7 linked regions of the Sus scrofa genome follow. Each later gene encodes a partner of the first gene's protein in a complex. Links are inferred from orthologs where the notes say so. Each region holds a gene or a part of one and is shown in the gene's direction. Other genes may lie near its edges. The genes, in order: RBBP4, RBL2, LIN9, HDAC1, CHD4, CDK2AP2 and LIN52.

Region 1 (4,098 bases):
GACATACAGGGTCCAGAAAGAACTAAGCCTAGTAAGCTATGGTAAATAGTTGGATTCTATACTGAAGACAAGGGGAATTTAATGAAATATTTTAAGCAGGGATATTAGAGTCAGATTAGTCCTTCCCAGACCACAGCCACCTTTAGGGATGATAGCTTAAGGTTTATATAGAACTTCAGAGTCTGCACTACACTTTCACATTTATTTTTATCTCAATTATCCCTCACATGAAGGAACTGAATGCAAAGAAAGGTTATGTGATTTGCCTAAAGTCACTTAACTAAATATGGCAAAACCAGGTCTTTTTACTAACACGATACAGGTAAAACACCAAGTTAGAAGTTCCCTACTGAGAGCTTTCAGTCCCCTAACCTAGCCACACTCTTAGGAGACGACAACTCCGCAAACGCTTGAAAACACGGTTGTGTTTAGAATTAATACACCAATAAAATTCCCACAAAGTAAGCGTGAATAGGCACACGTAGAAAAAGTTCAAAAGACTAAATGTGGAAGCCCAGATTTCCGATTCAGACCGGGTGGCTTTTCCCTTCAGCATCCGCGGGACAAGCACAGAAGAGACAAACAGGGCTAAAAGGGAACGTGCCGGAAGTACCGTAGGGGACAAAGTGGAAGGCGAGGCCAGAAGCCCCAGGTAATGAGAGAAGTGAGACACCTACTCACACTCGTACTTCCGATTGACTGGAGGATACTTGGCCTTGATCGCCTTCTGCTCCTCAGTCAAATTGTAATCTCTAAAATCTTCCCCTTCCAGCGCCATGATTGTGCTTTTGGACCCAAACTCAGCTTCCGCCCTTCTTCAGCTGGACTTCGGCCCTGACTTATAACTTCCGCTCTAGACTCCGCCCCTTGGCACACCCTTAAAGGACCAGGGCTCCATTCCCTGGGAGGTACTTAATCCTTCTAGACTTCCGTTCTGTGTCCCAGGGTTTGGAGCACATCATTAAAAGTCGAAGGACCCACTTTCTGCTCTTGCTTAATAGTTCTTCCTACGACTAAGGAAACAAATAATTTGGAGGACGTGGAATAAGGGACACGAATTAGACACCTTTCGATCTGAATGATAGAGGCCTTTTCTTGCCGCCTAGCCCCACAATAGATAACTAGACCCGGAAGCATCCTACATTTTCCCATCTAAAGTACTACTTTGAAGGGGTCGCTAGCTTAACACCCTTCACGAAAATGGCTGCCCCCAAAAGCGTGCGGACTAAACCTCTCACGTGACCCCGGGCGGGTGCACTTCTACTACTCCCGCGCGCGCGAGCGCGCGCGCGTGATCGGAGGAAGTCGGCTTGGGGCCGTGTGGGGGCAGGGGCAGAGCGCGCGCCTGGGCCTGGAGGCAAGCTGCTCCGCGCGTCTGGATAGGCTGCGATCGCGGCTTCCCCGCCCACACCGACGTTCGGCGCACTCCGATTGGCCGATGTTGGCGCGAAGGTGCGCGAGTCGGCCCTCACGCAGGGGCAGCAGGAAACAATAGAGGCCGCGCGCGCAGAAGGAGCGCTCGCAGCCTCCCCGCCCCTCTCGCAACGCTCTGCCCCAGGATCCCCCCGGCTTGCCTGTACGCCATGGCGGACAAGGAAGGTGAGGGTGCCGGGGCCGCCCCAGGAGGGCGGGAGGAGTCAGGCTTGCGCCGCGGCCTCAACGCGGCCTAACGGTGGGGGCAGGCCAGACTCTGCCTAGGGCCGTCCCCGCCATCGCAGGCGTGAGGAAAAATCGCCCCGCGGGGCGGGCTCATGGCGCGCCAGCCCCTCTGGAGCGGAGGCCCGGCGCAGCGGTGTGAGGCTGGCCGTGGTGGCCTCGGGGGGGGTGTTTGGTCCCTCCCGCGCTCCCCGTCGGTCTACCTGCCTCTCTCCGGGTCCTCCCGGCCGCTCTCCCTACCCGCAGGGGTCGGTGCTCGGTCTCACCGTCGGTTCTGTGCGCTCGACGGCGGGCGCCGTCGCCCGAAGGGCTAACGGAGTGTCTGGTCGGGATTACCCGAGCAGTTCCCGCCCGGCGAAGCTGGAGAGCGGTGGTGGTGCCTGCGCCTCCGGGAGATCTAGACTAATCTCCATTTCAGAATCAGGATTCAGGAGCCGTGACGGTAGCTTTGGAAGTGTTTACTCGGTTTCCGTTTGTGGTCGCTAACTTAATTTGTTCTTAATTTTTTAGCAGCCTTTGATGACGCAGTAGAAGAACGTGTGATCAACGAAGAGTACAAAATATGGAAAAAGAACACCCCTTTTCTTTACGATTTGGTGATGACCCATGCTCTGGAGTGGCCCAGCCTAACTGCACAGTGGCTTCCAGATGTAACCAGGTGATAGGAATCTCTCGAATGCTGTTTTGTTGTGTCCTCAGTGTAGATTTCTCACATTGATTTTCCCTGTTTTCCTCTCTCCAGTCACCCGTAGAGGACACGTGATCAAAGCCTATTGGTGACATTTTTTTCCTAGGCCAGAAAGTAAGGCAAAATGTAAAATTATTTTGCAGTTTAGCATATAAGAGAGAACATACTGATGTTTTCTTTTTATTTACTTGTTTTTATTGAGGTACTGATTTACAATGTTGTGTAAATTTCTGCTGTACGGCAAAGTGATTCAGTTATGTTTTTAAAGTACAGCTGATTTTCCATGCTTCTTCGGTTTCTGTTGTATAGCAAAGTGACCCAATCACAGTTTCCTGTGTACACTTTTTTTTGGATATATATTCTTTTCCATTATGGTTTTCCTAGGACACTGAATATAATTTTCTTTGTTATACAGTAGGATCTTGTTTATTACCACTTTCGTGTAGACTAGCTTATTACATCTGCTAACCCCCACCTCCTGCTCCCTCTCCCAACCCCCTTGGCAACCACAAATTTATTTCCTATATCTGAGTCTGTTTCTGTTTTGTAGATAGGTTTGTCATATTTTAGACTCTCCAATATAAATGATATTTGTCTTTCTCTTTCTGATTTCACTTAGTATGATCATCTAATTGCATCCAGGTTGCTGCAAATGGCATTATTTCTTCCTTTTTACGGCTGAGTAGTATTCCATTGTATATATGTACCACATCTTTATTCATCTGTCAGATTGTTCCCATGTCTTGGCTATTGTGAATAATGCTGCTGTGAACATAGCGGTACATGTATCATTTTGAATTATAGTTTTGTCTGGATATATACTGGGGAGTAGGATTGCTGGGTCATATGGTAACTCTATCCTTAGTTTTCTGAGGCATTTACATACTGTTTTCCATAATAGCTGCACCAGTTTGCTTTCCCACCAGCAGTGTGGGAGATGTTTCCTTTTCCTAACACTGAATTGAATAGTGGGATTATAGCTGTAGTTGACCAAATGGTAATGTAAAACTTGTCAGCTTTCAGAAACTATCAGGATGAGTTCAGTTTTTAACATCAAAATGTTTGAATCTCGGCAGTCAGTGGTATTTTCTAGTTAGTTAATGCAAAGGTAAATGTGACATGGTACCTGCTTTCAAGTCTAGTGAATAGGCAGGTATAATTATGAAAGTGGCAAAGATAAAATGATCAGAGAAAGGAAAATTATCTCAACTTGGAATATCAGGAAAGGCTTTCAGTGGGAAGTGACAGTGTGAAAAGGAAGGTGACTTTAAGTAGTATAAAGCTTTAACAAACTGAGCGTGCCTGGGGGAATAATGGATTTTTTATTACAAAACTGTTGGTGTTCAGAGTAACAGCTGAAAGTTATATGTATGCTAAATAACTAGGTTCCTTCAGAACTCAGGTCTTTTGAGTCAAGATATTTGTAAAATGTGGTTGTTGGCCTATGTTTCAGCTCAACAAGTAATAGAAATTTTATAGAAATTTCATTGCCAACTTAATGAGCATGCTACTTTCGTAGTAGCTTTTTAAAAATGGGGAAATCTGGAGTTCCCGTTGTGGCTCAGCAGTAACGAACCCAACCAGTATCCATGAGGATGTGGATTCAGTCCCTGCCCCTGGCAGTGGATTAAAGGATCCAGTGTTGCCGTGAGCTGTGGTGTAGGTCGCAAATGTGGCTCAGATTCAGAGCGTGGCTGTGGCTGGCAGCTGTAGCTCTGATTCAGCCCCTAGCCTGGGAACTTGATGTGCTACAG
Region 2 (4,227 bases), about 57 Mb from region 1:
CTGCTGCGCCACAACAGGAACTCATAAAAAATATATTTTTGATCCACAAATGATTGAACCTGTGGATGCACAACCTTTGCAGACTGAGGGCCCACTGCATCTTTTACATATCATGGGTGTTTTTCTTAATGACCTGTACATATTCCTTTGAAATGTAGTCATCAGGAAGGATATGGCCTCATCTCCCAGTCTCTGTGGGAGGATTGTCTTCTTCTTCTTCTTTTTTTTTTTTTTTTTGTCTTTTTGCCTTTTCTAGGGCCGCTTCCCTCGGCATATGGAGGTTCCCAGGCTAGGGGTCTAATTGGAGCTGTAGCTGCTGGCCTACACCAGAGCCACAGCAACTCCGGATCCAAGCCGTGTCTGCGACCTACATCACAGCTCATGGCAACGCCAGATCCTTAACCCACTGAGCAAGGCCAGGGATCCTTAACCCACTGTGCCACAATGGGAACTCCAGGGAGGGCTGTCTTCTAACTTCAACAAACTGACAACTAGCAGAACCTGGTGGCCTAATCACATTCATACTCACCAATCCTTCCTACTTTTTTTTCTTGAGCTCTGCTCTCGCACCATCTCTTCTCCTTCATCTCTCCTTTAAAACCTCAATCATCTCTGCACAAATCAAAACAGAACCCAGTTCTTCCCCCTAATGTCAGTAGTGATGGAATAAAATATTTTCATCCCTTTCACTGATGAAAGCTTCCTCTTGGAGAAGAGGCTTCTCCAAGGGACCTGGGCTTCCTCACAGTATGGTGGCTGGGTTTAGAGATTCAGTGGAAAGAGAGAGAGAAGTGACCCCATACAAAACTTCAATGCCTTAAGACTCCTAGTGCATGAAAATGTTTTATACTGTACCCCCTGTAAATCCATAAGGATTGGAAATATAGGGATTCATAAAGATTTGAACAGAGATAGCAAAATGAAAATAAAAGAATGAATTTAAAGCAACGGAGTGACTAAGAATAGTACAAATACAGTCACCTGTAGGTGAAGATAAATTCACCCTATGGGGAAAAAAGAATTAATACTTAAAAAAAAAATCCAATAATTACTTGAAAGTCTCACATGAAATTTAAAAACAGTAAAAAACTAAAAGAGACCCCTAAATTTGAATTTAGGCAGACTCTTACTATAATATTTATTTTTTAGATAAGGACGCGCAGGTGATGGGTATTCTGGGGACATCTTGGACACTACACCTTCTCAAGTCAATGTTTCTTGGATGGTTTCTCTTCAATACAGCCCTGCAAAAATGGTCTCTCTATGAGGAGGTACCTGAAATATACAAAAGTCCCTTTTATTTAACCCGGAGGGAGACGACACGAGATGATTTTTAAAATATGATTTTTGATCCCCGTGGGCTGGACTACATTTCCCAGCAGGCCTCACTCGGAACTACGGGTGCCGACGTGAGGTCTAGCGCCGTTGGCGGCGGCGCAGTCTTGAAGCGGGCGGCGGACAGGCGGGCGCTTTGCGGTTTGAATGGCTGCGGGCCCGGGCCCTCGGCTCACCTGAGGACCGGCCGCCCAGGTGTGCACTATGCCGTCGGGAGGCGACCAGTCGCCGCCGCCCCCTCCTCCCCCTCCGGCGGCGGCGGCCTCGGACGAGGAGGAGGAAGACGATGGCGAGGCGGAGGACGCCGCGCAGCCTTCTCGGTCGCCAGCCCCTCAGACCCAGCAACGGTTTGAAGAGCTGTGCAGCCGACTGAACATGGACGAGGCGGCGCGGGCGGAGGCCTGGGACAGCTACCGGAGCATGAGCGAGAGCTACACGCTGGAGGTGAGCCCGGGGGAGGAGACCAGCGGCTTTCTGGGCCTAGTGGTCGCGCCTCGCCTCCGGGGACGGGGCCCCATCTCACCCCGGCTAGGACGCCCTGCGGGGGGATCCCCCGGGCCGACCCCAGCCTTGAGCCGGGAGGGAAACCTCTCTGCGCAGCTTCGTTCTGGAAACCTGGCTCTTGAAAAACTCTTGACGGTCCGGAAAGTGAACCCTGACTCGCTGCTCTTCCCTCTCCGGTTCCGAAGGGAGAACAGCCCTTGCCCTAAAGTAGCACTGCGAGGCTGAGGTTGGGCTGGAGTCCAATTACAAAAACACAACCACCTTGTTGGCAGAATGAACAGGTGCAGTTGTCAAGATCAAGACCATACTCGGGGGGGTGGGGGTGGGGTGCAGGGACTTGCCTACGTTCGCACCGAGATTAACCCGATTTTAGCGCCTGCGTTTCCAGGCTTCTTCAGTTCTTTTCCTCTTGTAGCAAATTGCTTTCGTTCAGGCAGTGTATCCGTTTGAGTACATTGTTAACGTTTCGGGCTGTGTTTATGTATGTGTAAACAAAGACGAATCTTCCGTAGAGCAAAAGAAACGAGCTTTCTGCCTGCCTAGATATAGACTCACGTCTCTAGGAAGTCAGAAATGGGGCGACCTTGGGGACCTTTTGGTCCCCCCAGACATTGCACAGGACTCTTATAGTCGCTGTGATCAAGGTGTGTTTTGTCTCTTTCTTTGGACGGGGCTTGCAGAGGAGAAAAATGGCCATTCTAGCCAGTGAGGCTCTACTCTGTAGGCACCTCCCCTTTATGGGCCAATGGGAAGTGACACGGAAGTCTACATTGTTTATCTGCTGTTTGACTGCCTGTTTGAGTGGTATTTAAACAGGAGGCCATATGATTTTCTTAAGTTATTTTATAGTTTATGGCAAGTAGGCGAATAGGCTCAGAATGGGAAGGTCTAACTGAGGTGTTATTTAACTAAAATCAGTTTTCTTTTATGTTACAGGGAAATGATCTTCATTGGTTAGCATGTGCCTTATACGTGGCTTGCAGAAAATCTGTGCCAACTGTAAGCAAAGGAACAGTTGAGGGAAACTATGTATCTTTAACCAGAATCCTGAGATGTTCAGAGCAGAGGTAACTCAGCTATATTAGAGTTTGTAGTGTGACTAATATAAAAGCTTATAAATCACAGTGACCATGAGAATTCTCTTTATTTATTATTTTCTGAGCATTTGTACCTATGGAGTGCTAAATTTAGAAGCTAGGTCATGGTTTTCCTTTACCACATCTAAGTTAGTATCCATTATATGTTATTTATTTGTCAAAAAGTATTTACATTTTATTTTATTTTATTTTGCTTTTTAGGGCCACACCCGTGGCATATGGAAGTTCCCAGATTAGGGGTCAAATAGGAGCTGTGGCCTACGCCACAGCAATGCCAGATCTGAGTTGCATCTGCGACCTACACCACAGCTCACAGCAACCCTAGATCTTAACCCACTGAGCAAGGCCAGGGATCAAACCCACATCCTCATGGATACTAGTTGGGTTCATTACTGCTGAGCCATAATGGGAACTCCTTAAATTTTAATGTACTGGGCATTTGTATAAAGTGTTTACTATTAAAGGTTATGACTCATCCTTATGTAATATTGGGAGAATTCTAAATAAGGATATTCTAAAATGAAAAGGTAATAAAATATTATATGGTGTTAAATTTAGAGCTACGTACACAAGACTTGTATCTTATATATGGAACATGTAAATACTTAGTTTCCTCTTTGGAGGATAAGCAACAGTGTTATAATCAATTATACAAAAGTTCAAATGGTGTTTTAAAGAGGAGGTAGAAACTGCTTTTTCTGTTGATTGATTACATTTATCATTTATGCCTTTTGAGTTAATTTTCTCAAATTAAAGACTGGTGGAAAAAGAATGTTTGGCATTTTGGAGGAAATACCAAAATTTATCTTCCTAATGGCTTAAAAAAATCACTATTAAAATATTTTACAATAAATTTGTAAAATAAATTACAAGAACTATAATCTTTTAGCTGTGGCCTTTTTTTTTTTTTTTTTTTTTTTTTTTTTTTTTTTTTTTAATGGCTGCACCCATGGCATATGGAAGTTCCCAGGCCAGGGATTGAATTCAAGCCACAACTATGACCTGTGCAGCTGCAGCAGTGCTGATCCTTTAACCCACTGCACTGGGCTGGGGATTGAATCTGTGCCTCTGCAGCAACCTGAGCTGCTGCAGTTGGGTTCTTAACCCACTGCCCCATAGTGGGAACTTCATCTAGTCTATTTATTAACCTTGAACTTCATCCTGAGTTATATTTAGGCCTAAGAACAAGAGGGAGTACATAAAGAGTTGAACACCTGGGCTGTAAACCTGCAAAAGAGAAGTGGTCTTTCTTTTATTTTCTTTTTTTATGGCTGCACCTGCAGCATATAGC
Region 3 (3,500 bases), on another chromosome or scaffold:
GGCTAAGGGACGAATCAGAGCTATAGCTGCCGGCCTACACCACAGCCACAGCAACGTGGGATCTGAGCCTCATCTTCGACCTATTCCACAACTCACAACAGTGCAGGATCCTTAACCCACTGAGTGAGGCCAGGAATCGAATCTGCATCTTTATGGATACTAGACAGGTTTCTTTTCCACTGAGCCATGATGGGAACTCAAATGTACTTTTAGAAAGGAGTAAGAGAGAAAGAAAATTTGGACTAAATACAGAGCAAAGTACACCAATCTTAAATTTTTTCATTAAAGGATAAAGACTTTAAACCTCCCCTTTCAAAAAAGGAAAATAACTTTTCTGTTTCATTAATGTAATTTCTTTTATGAGATCACCCAAACATTTCTCCCTGGCCAGATAAGAACTGACTTTAATTACAGGAGGTAATATTCAGATAATCTTTAACACAGAGACAACCAAGGTCATAGGTCACTTTCTTTTCTTTTATAAATCACTTTCTTCTGTTTTGTGGGTTCAGCCTGTTAGTTGCAAAGTAGTTATTCATACTCTGACTTAACTTCTATCCCTGGAGTTCCTGTTGTGGCTCAGTGGTTAACAAATCCAACTAGGAACCATGAGGTTTCGGGTTCGATCCCTGGCCTCAATCAGTGGGTTAAGGATCCAGTGTTGCTGTGAGCTGTGGTGTAGGTCACAGACGTGGCTTGGATCCCATATTGTTGTGGCTCTGGCGTAGGCTGGCTGCTATACCTCCGATTCCCCTGGCCTGGGAACCTCCGTATGCTGTGGGTACGGGCCTAGAAAAGATTAAAAAAGACAAAAAAAAGAAGTTCTAGCCCTTTGATCTTTGTGGGTTAATATATTTTATAATAAATCCTAACATGTAAACTAGTGTACATTTAAAGCTGAAGTAAAGTCTTTACAAAGCTAAAATGATTGCTAAAGTTCTTCAAGTTGTCAGGACTGTTCTCTTTTCCCAAAGAGTAATGATTCTCATGAGACCATGCCAATTGCTGCCTTTGGACAAAAACAGCGGCCTTCTCGATTTTTTATGACTCCACCACGGTTACATTATACTCCTCCTCTCCAGTCACCAATTACAGTAAGTAATATTTTTTAAATAGCACCAATAATTTAAATGATTATTATGCATGTAAACTTGTTCTTATGAAATATACATCTGTTGCAGTAACTTCAGGAGGTGCCCACATTATTTTGAGTTGTCAGATATTAAATAAAATAGTTAATAAAACAGTTGCTCCAACTCTGGAAATATTTTTCTTTTTGTAGGGTTTTTAACAGAAAATTATAGTAGAGTTTGATTTTTATCTAAAAATAAGATACTTCTTTTGAACAGTTAATGGTTAAATCATTCCCTTTTATTCCCGTAGGATAATGATCCTTTATTAGGACAGTCACCTTGGAGAAGTAAAATTTCTGGCTCTGACACTGAAACATTAGGTGGTTTTCCAGTAGAATTCCTTATCCAAGTGGTAAGAATTGCTCTGAATATTTTAGTTATTTGTTTTTTAAAAAAAGTCTTTTGTGTTATTAAAGTTGAAAATTTTTCTAGGACCAAATATTTTTGCACTTTTAAAAATTATTGTGTTGGTTTTAAGAACTCTGTTATTTCCAACAAAGCTTGAAAATAAGGGGTAACAGCCAAAAAAGACTTAGTGGTCTTTTTTGTTAGACTTCTCTTGGGTTTGGTTCTTATTATTTTGCGATGTTAAGGACTCTAACATTCTGGCATATGCCCTGTGAAACTGAATGTTTAGTTGTTAATAAATTGTAGACTATAAAATTTTGGAGTTCCCGTTGTGGCTCAGCAGTTAACTAATCTGACTAGCATCCACGAGGGCACAGGTTCAATCCCTGGCCTTGCTCAGTGGGTTAAGGGGGGGTCCAATGTTGCCATGAGCTGTGGTGTAGGTCACAAACGCAGCTTAGTCCTGCATTGCTGTGGCTGTGGTGTAGGCCAACAACTACAGCTCCAGATCAACCCCTAGCCTAGAAACCTCCATGTGCCATGGGTGTGTCCCTAGAAAAAAAATAAGAAAAATAAATAAATAAGTTTTTATTTAGTAACCTCAGTGCATCCTGGCATTATCAGCACCTCAACAATTATGATATGTTGGCCAGCTCTCTGGTTAGGAGGAACTTTCTTTTCTGACTAGAAATAGCTATTCATTTGTTAAGTACTTAGTAATTAGACACAAAGACATCTAATGGTAAATCGAAACAAGTGTAGAATTGTTTTTTTTTTTAATTTTATTGGAGTATAGTTGACTTACAGTGTTGTTAGAATTATTATATAGAACAGTTTTCCTGAATAGCCTGACTCAACTCAGAAGAATAGAATGAGCTCTTTGTTTTGAAGATTATAGTAAATAAATTACTTACTTTGAATCACAGTCTAATCATGTTTGTTTTGTGTCTTTTCCTTTCCTTGTGTTTTTTTTTTCTGTGTGTGTGGTTTTTTTTTTTTTTTTTTTTTTTTTTTTTGGTCTTTTTGCTTTTTCCAGGGTCGCACCTATGGCATATGGAGGTTCCCAGGCTAGGGGTCTAATTGGAGCTCTAGCTGCCGGCCTATGCTAGAGCCTCAGCAACATGGGATCCTTAACACACTGATCGAGGCCAGGGATCGAACCCGAAACCTCATGGTCCCTAGTCGAATTCATTAACCACTGAGCCATGACAGGAACTCCCTCCTTTCCTTTTTTTGAAAAGAAAAACTATGTGGCTTGGATAGAGTCTTTATAAATAAAAATGTGTCTAACAATCCATTAAAATATTCACAGTGTTACCTTTTACAGTTAATGTTATTTTGAGGAAAAGTCTGGTCATTTGTGTGTATGCATATAGTATTTGTTTTCGCTCTTTTTTTTTTTTTTTTTTTCAGTCTTTTTAGGGCTCTCCTTTGGCATATGGAGATTCCCAGGCTAGGGGTAGAATCAGAGCTGCAGCAACAAGGGATCTGAGCCACATCTGCAGCCTACACCACAGCTCAGGGCAATGCCGGTTCCTTAAGTCATTGAGCAAGGCCAGGGATTGAACCCGCCTCCTCATGGATACTAGTCAGATTCATCCGCCGAGCCATGACGAGAACTCCAATGTATAGCATTTTTTATTCTTTAGTTATATGTTGTTCATTATCTTTGGAATACAGAATTATGCCTTTTGGCTTCCAAAGATGGATAAGATATTTTTAAATGAAAAGTTTAAAATATGGAAAGAGTGAAGGCTTATTATTTTCATAAATAGGACACTTATTTTTTAAAGACTTTCTTTCTTTTAATAGTGGAAGTAAAACAGAGCTAATATGTCATATTCGGACAAGTAGGGTGGTGAGGGGAGAAGAGAGAGAGAAGGGAGGGAGGGAGAGACACAGAGACTTACCAGTAGAGGGAGTAAGAAGCTAAATACTAGTGCACTACTTCTAAAGTATTGATATTTTTATTGGTGCTTAAATGTTTGATTGCAGTGCTTAGTTTTAACTTCAAAATCT
Region 4 (2,555 bases), about 200 kb from region 1:
CTTCACATCAGTCCTTCCAATATGACTAACCAGAACACTAATGAGTACCTGGAAAAGATCAAGTGAGTATATCCCCCCACCCCAACACCCCTCGTTTAACATTCGAGGCTCTGATTGGTCCCTGATCAGAGCCCAGCCACCTCTCTACCATTGGCCATAGACAGCGACTGTTTGAGAACCTGAGAATGCTGCCCCATGCACCTGGGGTCCAAATGCAGGCCATTCCTGAGGATGCCATTCCAGAGGAGAGTGGCGATGAGGATGAAGAAGACCCTGACAAGCGCATCTCAAGTGAGACCCAGGGGCCCCCACCCTACCACTCTGTAGGCAATTCTGTCTTCCCTGCATTGTTCCTGGCTCCACATTCTCCACAAGCTACCACCTGTTGAGAAACTCGAGGTCCTGTGCTTATAATTTAAGGAGTCTAGCTTCCTTTCCCTTTTGATGTCTTTTGGGGAACATGCAGGAAAGCACTGGGCAGACCATGAGATAAAGAATTTTCTCTCTCACCCATATTTCCCATTACCTCCCAGTCTGTTCCTCGGACAAACGAATTGCCTGTGAGGAAGAGTTCTCTGACTCTGATGAGGAGGGAGAAGGTGGTCGCAAGAACTCTTCCAACTTCAAAAAAGCCAAGAGAGTCAAAACAGAAGATGAGAAAGAGAAGGACCCAGAAGAGAAGAAAGGTGGGTTAGGGTTGGGCCAGGACTTGGGTCTTGAGCCCCAGGCCCTCGAGGAGGAATTTATGTAGGACACTGGGAGGAGGGCGCTGACTTGGGTCCTGCCAGCTCCTGTAGGCCTCTTCTCCGAAAGGATGAAACTCAATTCGTCTTCACTGGCTGATTGAGCCCTCCCAGGCCCCAGAGCCAGGGACATGCCTGGGCTCCCGGTGGTCAGGAGCGTGGCTCTCAGATACCACCCCACTTTCCCAGGGGGCTGCCTCCACCCACAGGGTTCAGGCTCTAGCAGGCTGGGAAACCGGTTTGACCTGTTTGTTCTCTACAGGGCTCGCCTGGAGGGCTGGGATGGGCTTTTCTCTTTTGTATGTCCAGCCAGCTGTAGTGTTGGGGAAAGGGTTTCAGGGTAAGTGGAGATCCCATGGGTCTTTCCAAAGGGGCTGCCCTTGGCCATCCCTGCTCTCTTATATTCTAGAAGTCACAGAAGAGGAGAAAACCAAGGAGGAGAAGCAAGAAGCCAAAGGGTAAGGAAGGAGCTGTCTTATCTCCCTGGCATTGGAGCACCAGCCCCTTTGTCCCACCACCAGGGACAGCTGGTCCAGCTTACAAAGGCTTCTTTCAGGGACCAGTCTGTGTTTCTCTGCAGTTCTAGGCAGAGCTAGGAAGCCCCAGCCCTCAGCAGTCACCTGGGCAGCCCGGGCGCTATGGAAATCATTGTACCCATACTTGGCCTCAAGGCCTCTAGGGTGGGTTATCTCATTCCAGTCTCTGCTCTCTCCACAGGGTCAAGGAGGAGGTCAAGTTGGCCTGAACAGACCTCTCCAATTCTGGCTTCTTGCCAAGTTCCCCGTCTTTATCCCACAACCCCTCAGATTTTATATTTTCTATTTCTGTGTATTTATATAAAAATATATTAAATATAAATATCCCCAGGGACTAGACAGGAACCAGGCTCCTGAGCCTAGGGCACACGTGTTAGGTTTCTAATAGCTGCCTCACCATCCATCCCTCTCCACCTCTTAATTTCAAACCATAACAGGTGGAAGGGATATACCTAAGCAGCCATAGGACAAAATCTTGACGTGACTAATAACTTTGAAAGGGTGCCCTCGTCGAGTATTTTAGAAGGGTTGACTGGGTCTTCAGGGATTCCTTGTTTTTTCAGGCTCCTTAAGGTAACATCAGCCATTTTTAGATTGGTTCTGTTCTCATACCTTTCCACTGCCCCCCAGTGAGCCAAGAAACTCACACTGCCTGCCCTCTCTTCCTCCCCCAATTCTGCAGGTGAAGATTGGTAGTCTAGGTTCCTTTTTGAGATACTATTTCCATTTTTGTGCGAATCTTTGTAATAAAATGGTACATTTCTATACCCTCCTGAGCCTGTCTCCTAGTGGTATCCCTGGGTTCATTTCACTTCCACTTCCCTGCCCTTAAGTGTACACGAGGATCTGGGCAACCCCTCAACAACCTAAAAACCCCACAGACTTACCTGTCTTAACCCTCCTCAAGGCTTGAGGTTAACCAGTCTTCTTACCCTACCCCAGAAGACCACTCATTAAAAAGCACCACTAAAGGGACGACATTTATTCCTTTTCCAAATGTTACAATAAAACCAGGTGGAAGAGAATGGTTTTAGCAGTTAGAAAAGAAAAAAAAAAAAGTACAAATCTGGGGTTTGGCCATTAAAAGTTATTTACAACAATGGGAGGGGGAAAAAAAAAAGACAACAAGAAGTTGTTTCACATTACAGACCTCCCCCCACCCCAAAGCTTAATACTTGCTTACCAAGTCAAAAAAGAGACAGTTGATTCACAAGCTGGAGGTTCGAACTTGAGTAAGACATTTATAAAAACCTAGACAGGGGCTCTGTCCTCCCCA
Region 5 (3,500 bases), on another chromosome or scaffold:
TTCTATGTAAGAGTCCCACCAGCTGGAATATGTTGTTTCAGGGGGAAACAATACATTCTATTCTTTTTGGTCTTTTTAGGGCCAAACCCACGGCACATGGAGGTTCCCAGGCTATGGCTCAAATCGGAGCTGCAGCTGCTGGCCTACACCATAGCCACAGCAGTGCGGGATCTGAACCATGTCTGTGACCTACACCATGGGTCACCTCAGTGCTGGATCCCTAACCCACTTGAGCGAGGCCAGGACTGAACCTGCCTCCTCATGGATGCTAGTCAGATTCTTTCCTTCTGAGCCTCAATGGAAACTCTATAATATGTTCTTTTTTTTTGTCTTTTTAGGGCTGCACCTGCGGCATATGGAGGTTCCCAGGCTAGGGGCCTAATCGGAGCTTCAGCTGCCAACCTACCCCACAGCCACAGCAACACTGGATCCGAGCCACGTCTGCCACCTATACCACAGCTCACTGCAACACTGGATCCTTAACCCACTGAGCGAGACCAGGGATCGAACCTGCAACCTCATGGTTCCTAGCTGGATTTGTTTCCGCTGCGCCACGACTGGAACTCCTACAATATATTCTTTTTAAATGTCTTTTACTTTATTGTAAGCCAGAAAGTTTGGGTTAGCTGTGGTCCTATTTTGGGTAACATGATAGAGGGTGGTGTCTGGGAGCAGAGGTGCAAAAGGAAATTTTGTACGAATGAAGGCAAACTAGCTCCTACCTTGTGCTAGATTTAGTATGTTATGTGGAAGTCAAGGCCAAAGTAGAAGTAAGAAAATACAGTTACTTCAATTTTCGGCTTCATTTTGTGCCTAACTCCAGGCTTTTAGCAGAGCTCACCGTATTGGGCAAAATAAGAAGGTGATGATCTATCGGTTTGTGACTCGTGCATCAGTGGAGGAGCGCATCACCCAGGTGGCGAAGAAGAAGATGATGCTGACACATCTAGTTGTTCGGCCTGGGCTGGGCTCTAAGACTGGCTCCATGTCCAAACAGGAGCTTGATGACATCCTCAAGTTTGGTACCGAGGAATTATTCAAGGATGAAGCCACAGATGGAGGTGAGCTAGTCAGGAGCTCGTTTTGGTCTGGGGCTTGGCCTCTCTAAAGGGTATCTTTCTCTGGTACCTATGGTCCTGAGACTCAGACCTTGGGTCCTGTGGGACTTGCTTTCTCCACTGCAGCTGCTGAAGCTAACTGGGGGTGTGGACCCCTGATTCTTTATAGGAGGAGACAACAAAGAGGGAGAAGACAGCAGTGTTATCCACTATGACGATAAGGCCATTGAACGACTGCTGGACCGGAACCAGGATGAGACAGAGGATACGGAATTGCAGGGCATGAACGAATATTTGAGCTCTTTCAAAGTGGCCCAGTATGTGGTGCGAGAGGAAGAAATGGGGGTGAGTATGAGTCCAAGGCAGTGCTGTGCTTGGTGATTGGTCCAGAAATTGGAATTGACCACAGTGGTATCTGAGAGAAGAGGGAGACATCTGTAGGCAAATTAGTACATTGATGAATTGATATATCTCTTCCTTTGAAAAGAAATACTGTAACATATGAGCAAATCACATTCTCATCTTTGACGTGGCTATCCAGAAATTCATGGCTGCATTTCACACAACTTTATATTAACTCTTCTTTATCGGAATCTCGTTTTCTTTTCTTTCATGTATTTTATTAGCTCTATAAGTAAACTTTGGATTACTATCTCCAGTCTCTCCAGAGAAAAGGTAGGAGATAAGATATGAGATAAAATACTTACACCATCTTCCTGTGCTTTTTAAAACAGAATTTTTTTTTTTTTTTCTCTTCTGTTTTCTTAGTACAAGATAAAAAGTACTCAGTGGTTGTCACTGTTGTGGCGTGGGTTGGCTCCTTGGCCTGGGAACTTTTGCATGTTGTGGGCATGGCAAAAAGAAACAAAAAAACAGCCCTCAGTGATATGTGGCTTCTGTAGGAGTTGTTTCGGTAGGTTAAGAACCCAACTAGTATCCATGAGGATGCAGATTCGATCCCAGGCCTCGATCAGTGGGTTAAGGATCTGGTGTGGCTTCAAGTTGTGGCATAGGTTGCAGATGTGGCTTGGATCTGGCATTTCTGTGGCTGTGGCAGAGGATGGCAGTTGTGGCTTTGATTCAGCCCTTAGCCTGGGAGCTTCCTTGTGCCGTGGATGTGACCTTAAAAAGGAGAAAAATATGTGGCTTCTGTAATGATTTTTTTTTCCCCAAAGTAGTATAGGGTATAAAACGAAAAAAAAAAAAAAGATTGCTTTTTCTTCCTGTCCCCTTTAAGCTACCTGGGTCAGGTTGCTGGTGATTTTTGCCACTTTTTCTCATCCTTCCAACTTGGAACCATCCCTCTTGCTGTGTTTTTCTCATACCTTCCTATTATCTTGAGTGACACTACTACTGCTAACATCGGTTGGGTGTAACCGTAGCTGCAAAGTCTGATGGGTCTGTAGACCAACAGTGTTCAATCAAAACTGCCCTCCTGTAAGGCGCTCTGGTTCCTGTCAGTGGTGACTGCACCTGCTGAGTGGTTGGATGAGAGAAGTGTACTCTCCCTCCCACTGATCACCTCTGCTAGTGACTACACAGGGATGCTGCCCACATTCTCTTTAGTGGCTGTGGCTGCTCTTTACTTTATAGCCTTTTTAGATTTCGTTTTTTGAATAGGAGTATAGCTGATCCTTGAGCAACTTATTGTTGGTCCTCCATATCCGTAGTTCCTGCATATCTGCAGATTCAACCAGCCATGGGCCGTGTAGCATTGTTGTATTTACTACTGAAAAACATCCATGTGTAAGTGGACTTGTGCAGTTTAAACCTGTGTTGTTCAGGAGTCAGCTGTAATTCAGCTGGTTCAGAATTCAAAAAATAGGAACCTTGAGGTTGCGGGTTCCATGCCTGGCCTTGCTCAGTGGGTTAAGGACCTGGCGTTGCCCGTGAGCTGTGGTGTAGGTGGTAGAGGTGGCTCGGATCCTGCGTTGCTGTGGCTGTGGTGTAGGCTGGCAGCTATAGCTCTGATTGGATCCCTAGCCTGGGAACCTCCATATGCCCCAGGAGAGGCCCAAGAAATGGCAAAAAAAAAGACCAAAAAAAAAAAAAAATTCAAAAAATACAGAGGTATCTCTCTCCCACCCCATTCCTCTGGCCACCCAGCTCCCTCCTTGAGGACAAATGATATTTTCAGTTTCTTGTATATATATATATATATTTTTTTTTTTTTTTTGTCTTTTTGCTATTTCTTGGGCTGCTCCCGCGGCATATGGAGGTTCCCAGGCTAGGGGTCGAATCGGAGCTGTAGCCACCGGCCTATGCCAGAGACACAGCAACGAGGGATCCGAGCCGCGTCTGCAACCTACACCACAGCTCACGGCAACGCCGGATCATTAACCCACTGAGCAAGGGCAGGGACCGAACCCGCAACCTCATGGTTCCTAGTCGGATTCGTTAACCACTGCGCCACGACGGGAACTCCTCTTGTATATATTTAAA
Region 6 (4,212 bases), on another chromosome or scaffold:
TGCCGTGAGTGTGGCCGTAAAAAGAAAGAAAAAAATATTTCTGTATGTAACCAACTGTATTTATGTCAAGCTAAACATGAGCTCCTATTGAGAGCTCCAACTCCAATCCATTAGCCCATGGACTATTCTAACCTCCTTCCCTTGCTACCTGTAACTCCTCATTCCAACAGTGAGAAGCCATTCGTTCTACACTTATTTAATTTTGAATTCCAGTGTACGTGTGCAGTGGTTTCAGAATTGTCAACCCATCCCCCATGGGAAACCGCGTCATCAACCAGGGTCCAGTGCTTACGTGCAGATCTTTTTGTCTTTGTTCCTCCAGACTCCACTGATTTCCAGATTAGCACCTGATTCCCCCACCCCCTTCAGTGAGGCTGTTCCTACATTTGCAATACAGCTAGATTCTTTTGTCATATTCTGCTTTCCACCCTCGGATCGCCTGACCTTCTAAATGAAAAAGTTTACTCTTTGGTAACTGTCAAGGTCTTGCATGTACCATTACAGCATCATACATAATCACTTCATGCCCCCCCATCCCCTCTGCTCCCCCTGTTCAATTTTACCCCTCCCCCCTCTACCCAGCACCCCCTCACCCCAGCACCCTTGGCAACCAGTCATTTTTTTTACCTTCTGTATCAATTTGCCTTTTGCGGAATGCCGTACATTTGGGATCATACAGTATGTGGCTTTTTCAGACTGGCTTCTCAGCACTGTGTCTATATCTTTTCAAGGCTATAGATAGATGATTTCCTTTTATTGCTGAATAATAGTTGATTGTATGGCGACTGCTCAGTTTATCTGTCCATTCACCTGTTGAGTGGTGCCTCTCTGGGAAAACTTCTGTGATGTCACACTTCCCCTAAGTTCCAATGCTCCCTGTCCCAGTCTCCACATTGCCTTAGTCCATTGTGTGCTTTTGCTTCCCTGTCTGTCTCTCCTTGAGACTAGGAGCTCCTGGAGGACAGAAGCCATGGCCAGTTCACTTCCATATCAGTGTCCAGCATAAAGCCGAAGATGGGGGATGGAATCAAAATGTTTGCTGAATGAACGAATGAATGAATGTCCTGGACATGACCGGTACACAAAGCCAGAGAGGTTTTGAGAAGTAGCCTGGGAAAAAAGGGTTACGGTTTGGAGGAGAGTCTAAGATCTCAGGTTGTGAGGAATGAGATTTGAGGAGAGGGGTCTGGATAGAGAAATGGATAGGGAAGAGGAGAATGAAACATAAGCATTTTATGACTATTCGTTTAATCCACACAACAATCCTAGGAGATGGTTGTTCCTAGCGTCCCCATTTCACAGATGAGGAAGTTGAGGCCTAGGGAGGTAACTTGCCCAAGGGCAAGTGGGGGTGGGGGCTGAGGGTGCGATTAGACCCATCAGTCTGACCCCAGATGCTGCTGTAGTCCCTGATCCAGGACCGTCCGTGGTACAGAACCCGGGATGCCGTAAGTATTTAAGATTAGCTGTTCCCGCTATTATCATTATGGGGCACCGGCGTGGGGCCTTGGGGGAGGAGGGCAGGTTGAGGTCCAGGTAGTTGGAAGAGGGGCAGGACCCGAGGTCCAGGCAATTGCGAGGAAGAGGCGTGTCAGCAGCATTGGTGAGGGGTCCGTTGCCATGGGAACAAACGAGGCCCTAAGAGGGCGCATGCGCGGGTCGGGGACAGGTTGTTGAACCGGTGAAAGGTGACGTAAAAGCGCACGGGGTGGGGCGCAGGGCTGGGAACGTCAAAGCCCTGCGTCCTCCCGCACTCGGAGCGGCGGAAAGGCGCGCGCGCGCGCGCGGCAGCGGCGGCGACGGCGGCGACGACAGCAGCCCCAGCTGAACCGGGACGGCAGCGGAAAGGTGACGTACAAAGCAACGTGAGTGAGGCGTGAGGACGACAACCGCGCCCGGGAAGCCCCGCCGGGCTCGAACCGCGGCGGACCGGACCCAGGTCCGGCTTCCGAGGCTCCGCCTCTCGCGTTTTGGGACTAATCGGATTGAGAGCGCGCCGGCCCGGGCCGCGAACTCGCCAATTGCGGAGGGCATCGACCACTACCCAATCCGGAGCAGACAGGTGCGAGGTCCGGAAGGCGGAGACCAATCAGAAGCGGTTGCGGCCTGTTGGGGCCGGCCTCGGCCAATGACAAGGCCCGAGTGACGTCTTCGCGCACCAATCAGGAGTGAAGGAGCCTTCGTGCCCGCCCGCCCTTCCGGCCTGAGCTCTATTTACCAGGGGCGTGCTGCCGGCTTGCCAATCAGAGCGCAGCTAAGCGGCCAGGCAGCCAACCCGGGAGGAGCGGCCGGCCGGCGTCTGCCGCACCCAGGAGTTGGGGATGTCCTACAAACCCATCGCCCCCGCCCCCAGCAGCACCCCGGGCTCCAGCACCCCTGGGCCCGGCACCCCGGTCCCTACAGGTGAGGATCCAGCTCCACCCCTGCTCGCCTGTCCGGGCGGTGGAGGTCTCGAAGAGAGGACGGCCTGAGTTCTGCAGTAGTGGGCCTGCCGGCTACCCTCGCTGAGCCTCAGTTTACTGGCCTGTGATGTGGGCGTGGTCACGTAGGGCTTGTTGGTGAAGCACAGGGGGAGGGGTTTGTCCTGAAGTTTAGCAGCGTGAAGCCAAGCATCCCTTTGGAGGTAATCGGGCGAATCTGGTCCGGGGCTTGGAGCGCCGGGACGAGGCGTCCCTACCCCGCGCTGACCTCTCACTCGCGCCTGTTGCAGCTGGAAGTGTCCCATCGCCGTCGGGCTCGGTGCCGGGAGCTGCTGCTCCTTTCAGACCTCTGTTTAACGACTTTGGACCGCCCTCCATGGGCTATGTGCAGGTGAGTGGAGCCTAGGATCTTCCATAGGATTGCCTGTGGAGGAGGACTGGAGCCCCCCTCTTGGCCTGAGCTCACTGCCGTGTTCTCCTTTGACACAGGCAATGAAACCACCTGGCGCCCAGGGCTCCCAGAGCACTTACACGGACCTGCTGTCGGTCATAGAGGAGATGGGCAAAGAGATCCGACCCACCTATGCTGGCAGCAAGAGTGCCATGGAGCGCCTGAAGAGAGGTGAGTGAGGCCAGGCCCACCACCCCTGCCCAGGAGACTTAACACTGGGAAGGAAAGACAGGTGGAGGCCACCTGAGCCAAGCGTAGACTAGGGCCAGTATCACTGTCCACAGAGGCATTTTGCAGTGAATTGCAGCCGAGTCCGTTTCCAGGGAAGGTCCAGAGAATTTGTATTTCACCGGGGCAAATTTGAGCATTAACCGAACCTCTGATCTCATCCAGGCCCCCATTAGGTCATAGTCCCTTTCACTGAAAGGAAAGGGGAGTAGGGAGGGAGGGGGGTCTTCCTCTGGAGGGGGGTGTGGGGCTATGGAGGGTCACTGAGGCCTCATCTGTTCCTTTCCCATCCTCACCCCAGGCATCATCCATGCCCGGGCCCTAGTCAGAGAGTGCCTGGCAGAGACAGAGCGGAACGCCCGCACGTAACAGGACTCGACTCCTCCTCGGCGTCTGGACCTTTCCTGGCCACTGCAGAGCACCTGCTTCTCCCTGGCCTTCACCCCGAGTTGCACTTCCCATCCTGGGCTTCCTGTCCTGTGTCCTTTGGTGGGTGCCCTCCAGGAACCAGTGGGCGGCTCTCACTCCAGTCGGCAGCAGTAACTGGAACCCCCAAAAGAGGGAGCAGTGAGGTCCCTGGGAGTCCCACCCATGACCTGCCAACAGTGTTGATCCAGCTGGGGCTTTCTCCTTTCTGTGGCCCCACCGCTCAGCACTTACCCAGGACTTACCGTTTTCCCAGACCCCTTCTCCCCCCAGCAGAGCCTCAGAAGGCCTGTCGCCTCCCTGCCTCGTCTCCTAGGCCATAACTCTTTTCTCGGTGTGTCTTTTGCTAAATATGCCCTTTTTGTATAAATAAAAGATAATTTGGAGTTGTTCTCTCAGCTTGTAGTCTTTATGAGTCTGCTGCGTCTAGTAAGTCTGGGTGGGCCAGGAAGGAGGGCAAAGAGGAGACTCGGGGTGGTGCACTGGGTGGGAGAGAGGTCCACTGAGCCCAGCTTTGCCTTGCCTCCACTGTCCATTGACCTTGGTGGGACCCTGCCCTTGTCTGCCGCTGCCCCCTGCCTCTTCCACCTGTAAGTAGTAGAGAGGGTTGAGCTCCAGTGGCTGAAAGCCCTGCCCTCCTTCACAGTCATGCCACCAGGGGGCAGCGCAGGGCCTTGGCTGCCTCCA
Region 7 (4,199 bases), on another chromosome or scaffold:
CCACCTCCACTCCCAGCCCCACCTCTGAGGGCAGAACTGAGTCACACTAAGGTGATTTTGGAGTGGGAACTTAGAACGTTACACCTGTTTTCCTTGGCTTTTATTTTCTGCCACTTGTTTCAGAGGTGTTTAGTCCTTTGCATGTGCTTGGAACAAACCGGGTAGCATTAACTATGTGTCCTTATTCACCGCCAACATAAACACTAACTTGGCTGAGCAAAAGTTAAACTCAAAGTCTCAGCAAGCCAAGAGGACAGCCTAGCTTGTGGAAAATACAGAACCACGGAGTTCCCGTCGTGGCTCAGTGGTTAATGAATCCGACTAGGAACCATGAGGTTGTGGGTTTGATCCCTGGCCTTGCTCAGTGGGTTAAGGATCCGGCGTGGCCGTGAGCTGTGGTGTAGGTCGCAGAGGGGGCTCGGATCTAGCGTTGCTGTGGCTCTGGCGTAGGGCGGCGAAGACCGCTCCGATTAGACCCCCAGCCTGGGAACCTCCATATGCCGCGGGTGCGGCCCCAGAAAAGGCAAAAAGACAAAAAAAAGAAAAGAAAAAAAGAAAATACAGAGCCAAAGCTGGGGAAGATAGCTCAGCAAATGGCTGCTTTGAGGGAAAGCTTAGTGTGCACTTCTAGAAGGAGACTCAAAGTTCACTCACTGACCCTCACCCCTCAAGTCCTTCCTCCTCCTCCCCTCCGCCCACGCCTTTACCTCGGGTTATAGAGTGAAGTAGGGTTGGGGAAGGGAACAATTTGGACGCTCCCAGAGAATGCCAAGAAAGGCGACCAGAAAAGGAGCTTCTGGAGCAGAGAGGTGGTTGGTGCAGAGGTGAAAGGGAAAGACGGTGGGCAGACCTACAGAGGTGAGGGCAGGGACCGGGCACGGCTGGAGGAGGAGAATGGTCTAAAGCCTGAAAGGGGTAGGCTCAAGAATAAAAAGGCCACGGGTAATAGTCCAGGGCTGGATCCAACGCAAGTGGATACCGAGTGAGATGTGGGACAGGGCCGCTCAGGTCCGATGGGAATAGGAGGGTCGGCCAAGGGGGGGTTGGTTCACAAAGCGGATGGAAAGGACTGAATTCCTAGTTTCATGAACCCTTGGCGCCACCCTCACTCGCCTGCAGGATCCGGGCCCGCACTGCCGCCGCAGCCAGCACCGCCGCCATGGTTCTCGGTTGCCTCTTCTCAGCCCCCCACGCCTTTCTGTGAGACTGTCCAGAAACACTACTGCTGCTAGGCCTTGCCCCTCCATCCTGCCGAACCTCTTCATTGGTGGAGAGGACTATTTCCCCTAGCCAATCACACGCCTTAACACTGACTCCACGCCCTCAGTGCCCAGTTCTGGGCGTATGCGATTGGTCAGAAGTGATAGAGCTCTCGCCTCCTCCCGCCTCAACAAATTCTGCTGGCGGAGGTGGGGAAGACGCCCCTGACTTGGATACTCTATATTGAGAGCACGAGGAAGACGCCCCCGAATTCGGAACTCCGATTGGCCACAGGCATGGCCGCAGCCCCACCCACTCACTGAGGAAAGTAAATAGGACTCTGCAAGAATTTTCAGCAGCGCCAGCACATCCACAGCGCGAGGGGGTGTGGCTAGCCCTGGGGGCGGGGCTACGGAAGATTACCCTATGGGGCGGGGAAACGAGACAGGACAGAGGGTTGGGGAATAGGGTTTCTCTCTGGGGGCGTGGCTTATGGACCCTAGCTTTCCCGCCGACGGTTGGCAACGTCACGTGACATGGGTTGGAAGATGGCGTCTCCCACAGACGGTAAGAGCCGGCTTATAGACCCTTCGCTTGCGACCTCCTTCTCTGTTCTCCTGGGAACTTACAGATGCTCAGAGAGAATCTCTCCGTCTGCCCCTCTAACTTACACCTTTTTCGTGGCCTTCTCGCCTTTCCCTTTTACTTTCCCACGGTATGTGGGTGCGTCTTCAGCTCGCTGGTTCTTCACAGAGGCTCCGGAGGTGCCCAGTTTCTTTGCAGTGTGCCAGGCGGATGGAGTAGGGCACCCGATTGGGACCCATTCCGGGCAAAACAAGGAGGGCCTCTCTGGTCCTCCTTTAGCCGCATTTGAGTGAGGCTGAGGGCCAAGGAGGAGATACTGCTGGGGTAAAGGAGGTGTCTCAGTGTAGCTTTCTCTTTCTCAGGGCGCCCCTTTGAAGGTTCGATTCTCTTTGAGCATCTGGAACGATTCTCTCACGCTAGCTAGGGTTGGTGGCAGACCTAATCTCGGGATTGAACCGCAAGGAAAATGTGATTCTCTCCTCCCTCCTCGGATTGGGACCGTTGTTCTGGCAGCAAGGGAAGCAGGAGACCCCTCTTGGTCCCTCTCAGTGAGAGTCCCTAGGAAAATGACAATTGAGCTTTTTAGTGTAGTCATGCACATTCATTCACTCAGCGTCTTTCTTCTATGTTATGTGTTGTTTCCTAAGGCTGAGTGAATGAATGATTTCTGCTTATATGTTGTATAAGAAGCAAGTCATCTGAGGTAGCAATTAAGTGGTTTTGGTATATCCACAGGGTTTTGCGCTCCGTTCTGCTTTAGGGTTAGGGTCTTGCAGTCATTTCTAAGCTCAGTTTTTGCCTCGACAAAATGCTTGCAGTCGTTTCTAAACTCAGTTTTGCATCTCCACGTCCATTTCACTTATACTTAGTTTTCTCTCAAACAAAGGAATTTTGTGTATGGAAGGAATCTTGGAAGTTCATTTCAAGAATGAGGAAGTTGAGGCCTGGAAAGCTATGCTGAGATCCACTATTCGAAAGGCATTATTATTCTAATTGCTTTGGGAGAGGAAAAGATTAATCAAACATGTAATATTTTTTCAGTTTCATTTAAATGTCACCTCCCAAAAAGGCTTTCCCAGAACACTGTATCTGTTTCTGGAGTTGCCTCACTTCACCATTATTCTATCTCAGTACCCTCATCCACAGCATAGTTATTCTGTTAACTTTGCCCCTTTCACACTAGCTTGTAAATTCCAAGACTGTCATGTTCATAGTTGGATCCCAGGGCTTAGCACAGTACCTGGCAGGAAGTAGGTCTTCAATTCACATTTATTGAATGAATGATTAGATATATACATAAATAATGTATTACTTAGTCTTAAGTTTTAACTGAGTGTTAAGTTTTTTGAGCATGGGTACGTACTGCAGAGGAAATTATGGGTGTAAAGAGTCAAAAGAGGAGTTACCATTGTGGCTCAGTGGTTAACGAATCCGACTAGGAACCATGAGGTTGCAGGTCCTATCCCTGGCCTTGCTCAGTGGATTAAGGATCCGGCGTTGCCGTGAGCTGTGGTGTGGGTCGCAGACACGGCTGGGATCCTGAGTTGTTGAGGCTCTGGCGTAGGCTGGCAGCTACAGCTCTGATTAGACCCCTAGCCTGGAAACCTCCATATGCCGCGGGAGCGGCCCAAGAAATGGCAAAAATATAGGAGAAAAAAAAAAAGAGTCAAAAGAGATTCTTCTGCCTGGGTGCTCTCTTGTTAAAATGTGCTTTTTTTTTTTTTGCCTGGAAAAAAAGGACATTTAAAAAGTTAACCAAGGGTATGAGGAGCTACTGTTTAATGGGTATAGACTTTTAGTTTGGGAAAGTGAAAAGGTTCTGGTAATGGATAGTGATGATGGTTACCCAACAGTGTGAATGTACTTAATGCCTCTGAACTGTACACTTAAAACTGGTTAAAATGGTAAATTTTATGTTGTGTATATCTTATCACAATTTTAAAAAACCAGCCAAGGGAGAGAAGTAGAAGTAATTGCTATTTAAAAATTTTAGTTTATTACTAAGTTGTGTATACATATATATTTTTTTGTTTCTTTTTAGAGCTACACCTGCGGCATATGGAGTTTCCCAGGCTAGGGGTCTCCCAGTCTAGGGACTGAATCAGAGCTGTAGCTGCTTAACCCACTGAGTGAGGCCAGGGGTGGAACCTGTGTCCTCATGGATACTAGTCGGATTCATTAATCGCTGAGCCACGACAGGAACACCAAAGTTGTTTTTATATTTTTAAGTTTTGTTCCTCATGTTTGATTTTACCCCATCTTCTCTCAATTTCTTTTCCTTTCTTTGGCCAGGGAGAATATTGGAAGTGTATTTTTCCCCTTTGGTGTTCTAGCCATCTCCACTGACACTCTATTTGCACATTTAATTTTTAAAAGTTTCATGCTCATCTTTTACAGAGCTTCACCCTTCTCTT

The links.
Region 2: RBBP4 (region 1) and RBL2 share a complex: the UniProt entries of both Homo sapiens proteins name them as parts of the DREAM complex. The link is inferred for Sus scrofa from reciprocal best matches to the Homo sapiens genes RBBP4 and RBL2.
Region 3: the proteins of RBBP4 (region 1) and LIN9 are in contact, whole or in part, in a crystal structure (PDB 7N40), measured with the Homo sapiens proteins. The link is inferred for Sus scrofa from reciprocal best matches to the Homo sapiens genes RBBP4 and LIN9. Residues at the interface, in NP_005601.1 of Homo sapiens: Ala11, Glu14, Arg15, Val16, Ile17, Asn18, Glu19, Glu20, Tyr21, Lys22, Ile23, Trp24, Lys25, Lys26, Asn27, Pro29, Phe30, Leu31, Tyr32, Asp33, Thr37, Ala39, Leu40, Glu41, Trp42, Pro43, Glu75, Pro87, Asn88, Asp89; in NP_001353174.1 of Homo sapiens: Phe107, Arg108, Asn111, Leu112, Lys114, Leu115, Lys117, Ala118, Lys120, Trp121, Ile123, Tyr124, Glu125, Trp126, Phe127, Tyr128, Leu135, Phe136, Asp139, Asn140, Asp141, Phe142, Cys143, Leu146, Arg156, Lys157, Leu158, Thr159, Arg160, Val161.
Region 4: RBBP4 (region 1) and HDAC1 share a complex: the UniProt entries of both Homo sapiens proteins name them as parts of the core histone deacetylase (HDAC) complex. The link is inferred for Sus scrofa from reciprocal best matches to the Homo sapiens genes RBBP4 and HDAC1.
Region 5: RBBP4 (region 1) and CHD4 share a complex: the UniProt entries of both Homo sapiens proteins name them as parts of the nucleosome remodeling and deacetylase (NuRD) repressor complex. The link is inferred for Sus scrofa from reciprocal best matches to the Homo sapiens genes RBBP4 and CHD4.
Region 6: RBBP4 (region 1) and CDK2AP2 share a complex: the UniProt entries of both Homo sapiens proteins name them as parts of the nucleosome remodeling and deacetylase (NuRD) repressor complex. The link is inferred for Sus scrofa from reciprocal best matches to the Homo sapiens genes RBBP4 and CDK2AP2.
Region 7: RBBP4 (region 1) and LIN52 share a complex: the UniProt entries of both Homo sapiens proteins name them as parts of the DREAM complex. The link is inferred for Sus scrofa from reciprocal best matches to the Homo sapiens genes RBBP4 and LIN52.

The regions. Positions count from the first base shown.
Region 1 is NC_010448.4:88,985,794-88,989,891, forward strand, and holds the start of RBBP4 (histone-binding protein RBBP4), read left to right. Parts: upstream 1-1,298; 5' UTR 1,299-1,583; coding exon 1,584-1,599; intron 1,600-2,166; coding exon 2,167-2,314; intron 2,315-4,098. Other genes in the region: ZBTB8OS (protein archease), read right to left, coding at 682-778. UniProt on the Homo sapiens protein: Core histone-binding subunit that may target chromatin assembly factors, chromatin remodeling factors and histone deacetylases to their histone substrates in a manner that is regulated by nucleosomal DNA.
Region 2 is NC_010448.4:31,799,218-31,803,444, reverse strand, and holds the start of RBL2 (retinoblastoma-like protein 2), read left to right. Parts: upstream 1-1,427; 5' UTR 1,428-1,539; coding exon 1,540-1,779; intron 1,780-2,775; coding exon 2,776-2,906; intron 2,907-4,227. UniProt on the Homo sapiens protein: Key regulator of entry into cell division. Directly involved in heterochromatin formation by maintaining overall chromatin structure and, in particular, that of constitutive heterochromatin by stabilizing histone methylation.
Region 3 is NC_010452.4:14,139,028-14,142,527, reverse strand, and holds part of LIN9 (protein lin-9 homolog), read left to right. Parts: intron 1-974; coding exon 975-1,094; intron 1,095-1,383; coding exon 1,384-1,485; intron 1,486-3,500. UniProt on the Homo sapiens protein: Acts as a tumor suppressor. Inhibits DNA synthesis. Its ability to inhibit oncogenic transformation is mediated through its association with RB1. Plays a role in the expression of genes required for the G1/S transition.
Region 4 is NC_010448.4:88,783,166-88,785,720, forward strand, and holds the end of HDAC1 (histone deacetylase 1), read left to right. Parts: coding exon 1-62; intron 63-160; coding exon 161-291; intron 292-533; coding exon 534-686; intron 687-1,152; coding exon 1,153-1,201; intron 1,202-1,460; coding exon 1,461-1,488; 3' UTR 1,489-2,055; downstream 2,056-2,555. UniProt on the Homo sapiens protein: Histone deacetylase that catalyzes the deacetylation of lysine residues on the N-terminal part of the core histones (H2A, H2B, H3 and H4).
Region 5 is NC_010447.5:64,088,627-64,092,126, forward strand, and holds part of CHD4 (chromodomain-helicase-DNA-binding protein 4), read left to right. Parts: intron 1-823; coding exon 824-1,061; intron 1,062-1,227; coding exon 1,228-1,403; intron 1,404-3,500. UniProt on the Homo sapiens protein: ATP-dependent chromatin-remodeling factor that binds and distorts nucleosomal DNA. Acts as a component of the histone deacetylase NuRD complex which participates in the remodeling of chromatin.
Region 6 is NC_010444.4:5,023,844-5,028,055, forward strand, and holds CDK2AP2 (cyclin-dependent kinase 2-associated protein 2), read left to right. Parts: upstream 1-1,412; 5' UTR 1,413-2,321; coding exon 2,322-2,403; exon of another isoform or gene 2,404-2,623; intron 2,624-2,710; coding exon 2,711-2,811; intron 2,812-2,909; coding exon 2,910-3,042; intron 3,043-3,400; coding exon 3,401-3,468; 3' UTR 3,469-3,923; downstream 3,924-4,212. UniProt on the Homo sapiens protein: Acts as a component of the histone deacetylase NuRD complex which participates in the remodeling of chromatin.
Region 7 is NC_010449.5:97,380,621-97,384,819, forward strand, and holds the start of LIN52 (protein lin-52 homolog), read left to right. Parts: upstream 1-1,399; 5' UTR 1,400-1,736; coding exon 1,737-1,767; intron 1,768-4,199. Other genes in the region: ALDH6A1 (methylmalonate-semialdehyde dehydrogenase [acylating], mitochondrial), read right to left, coding at 1,114-1,161.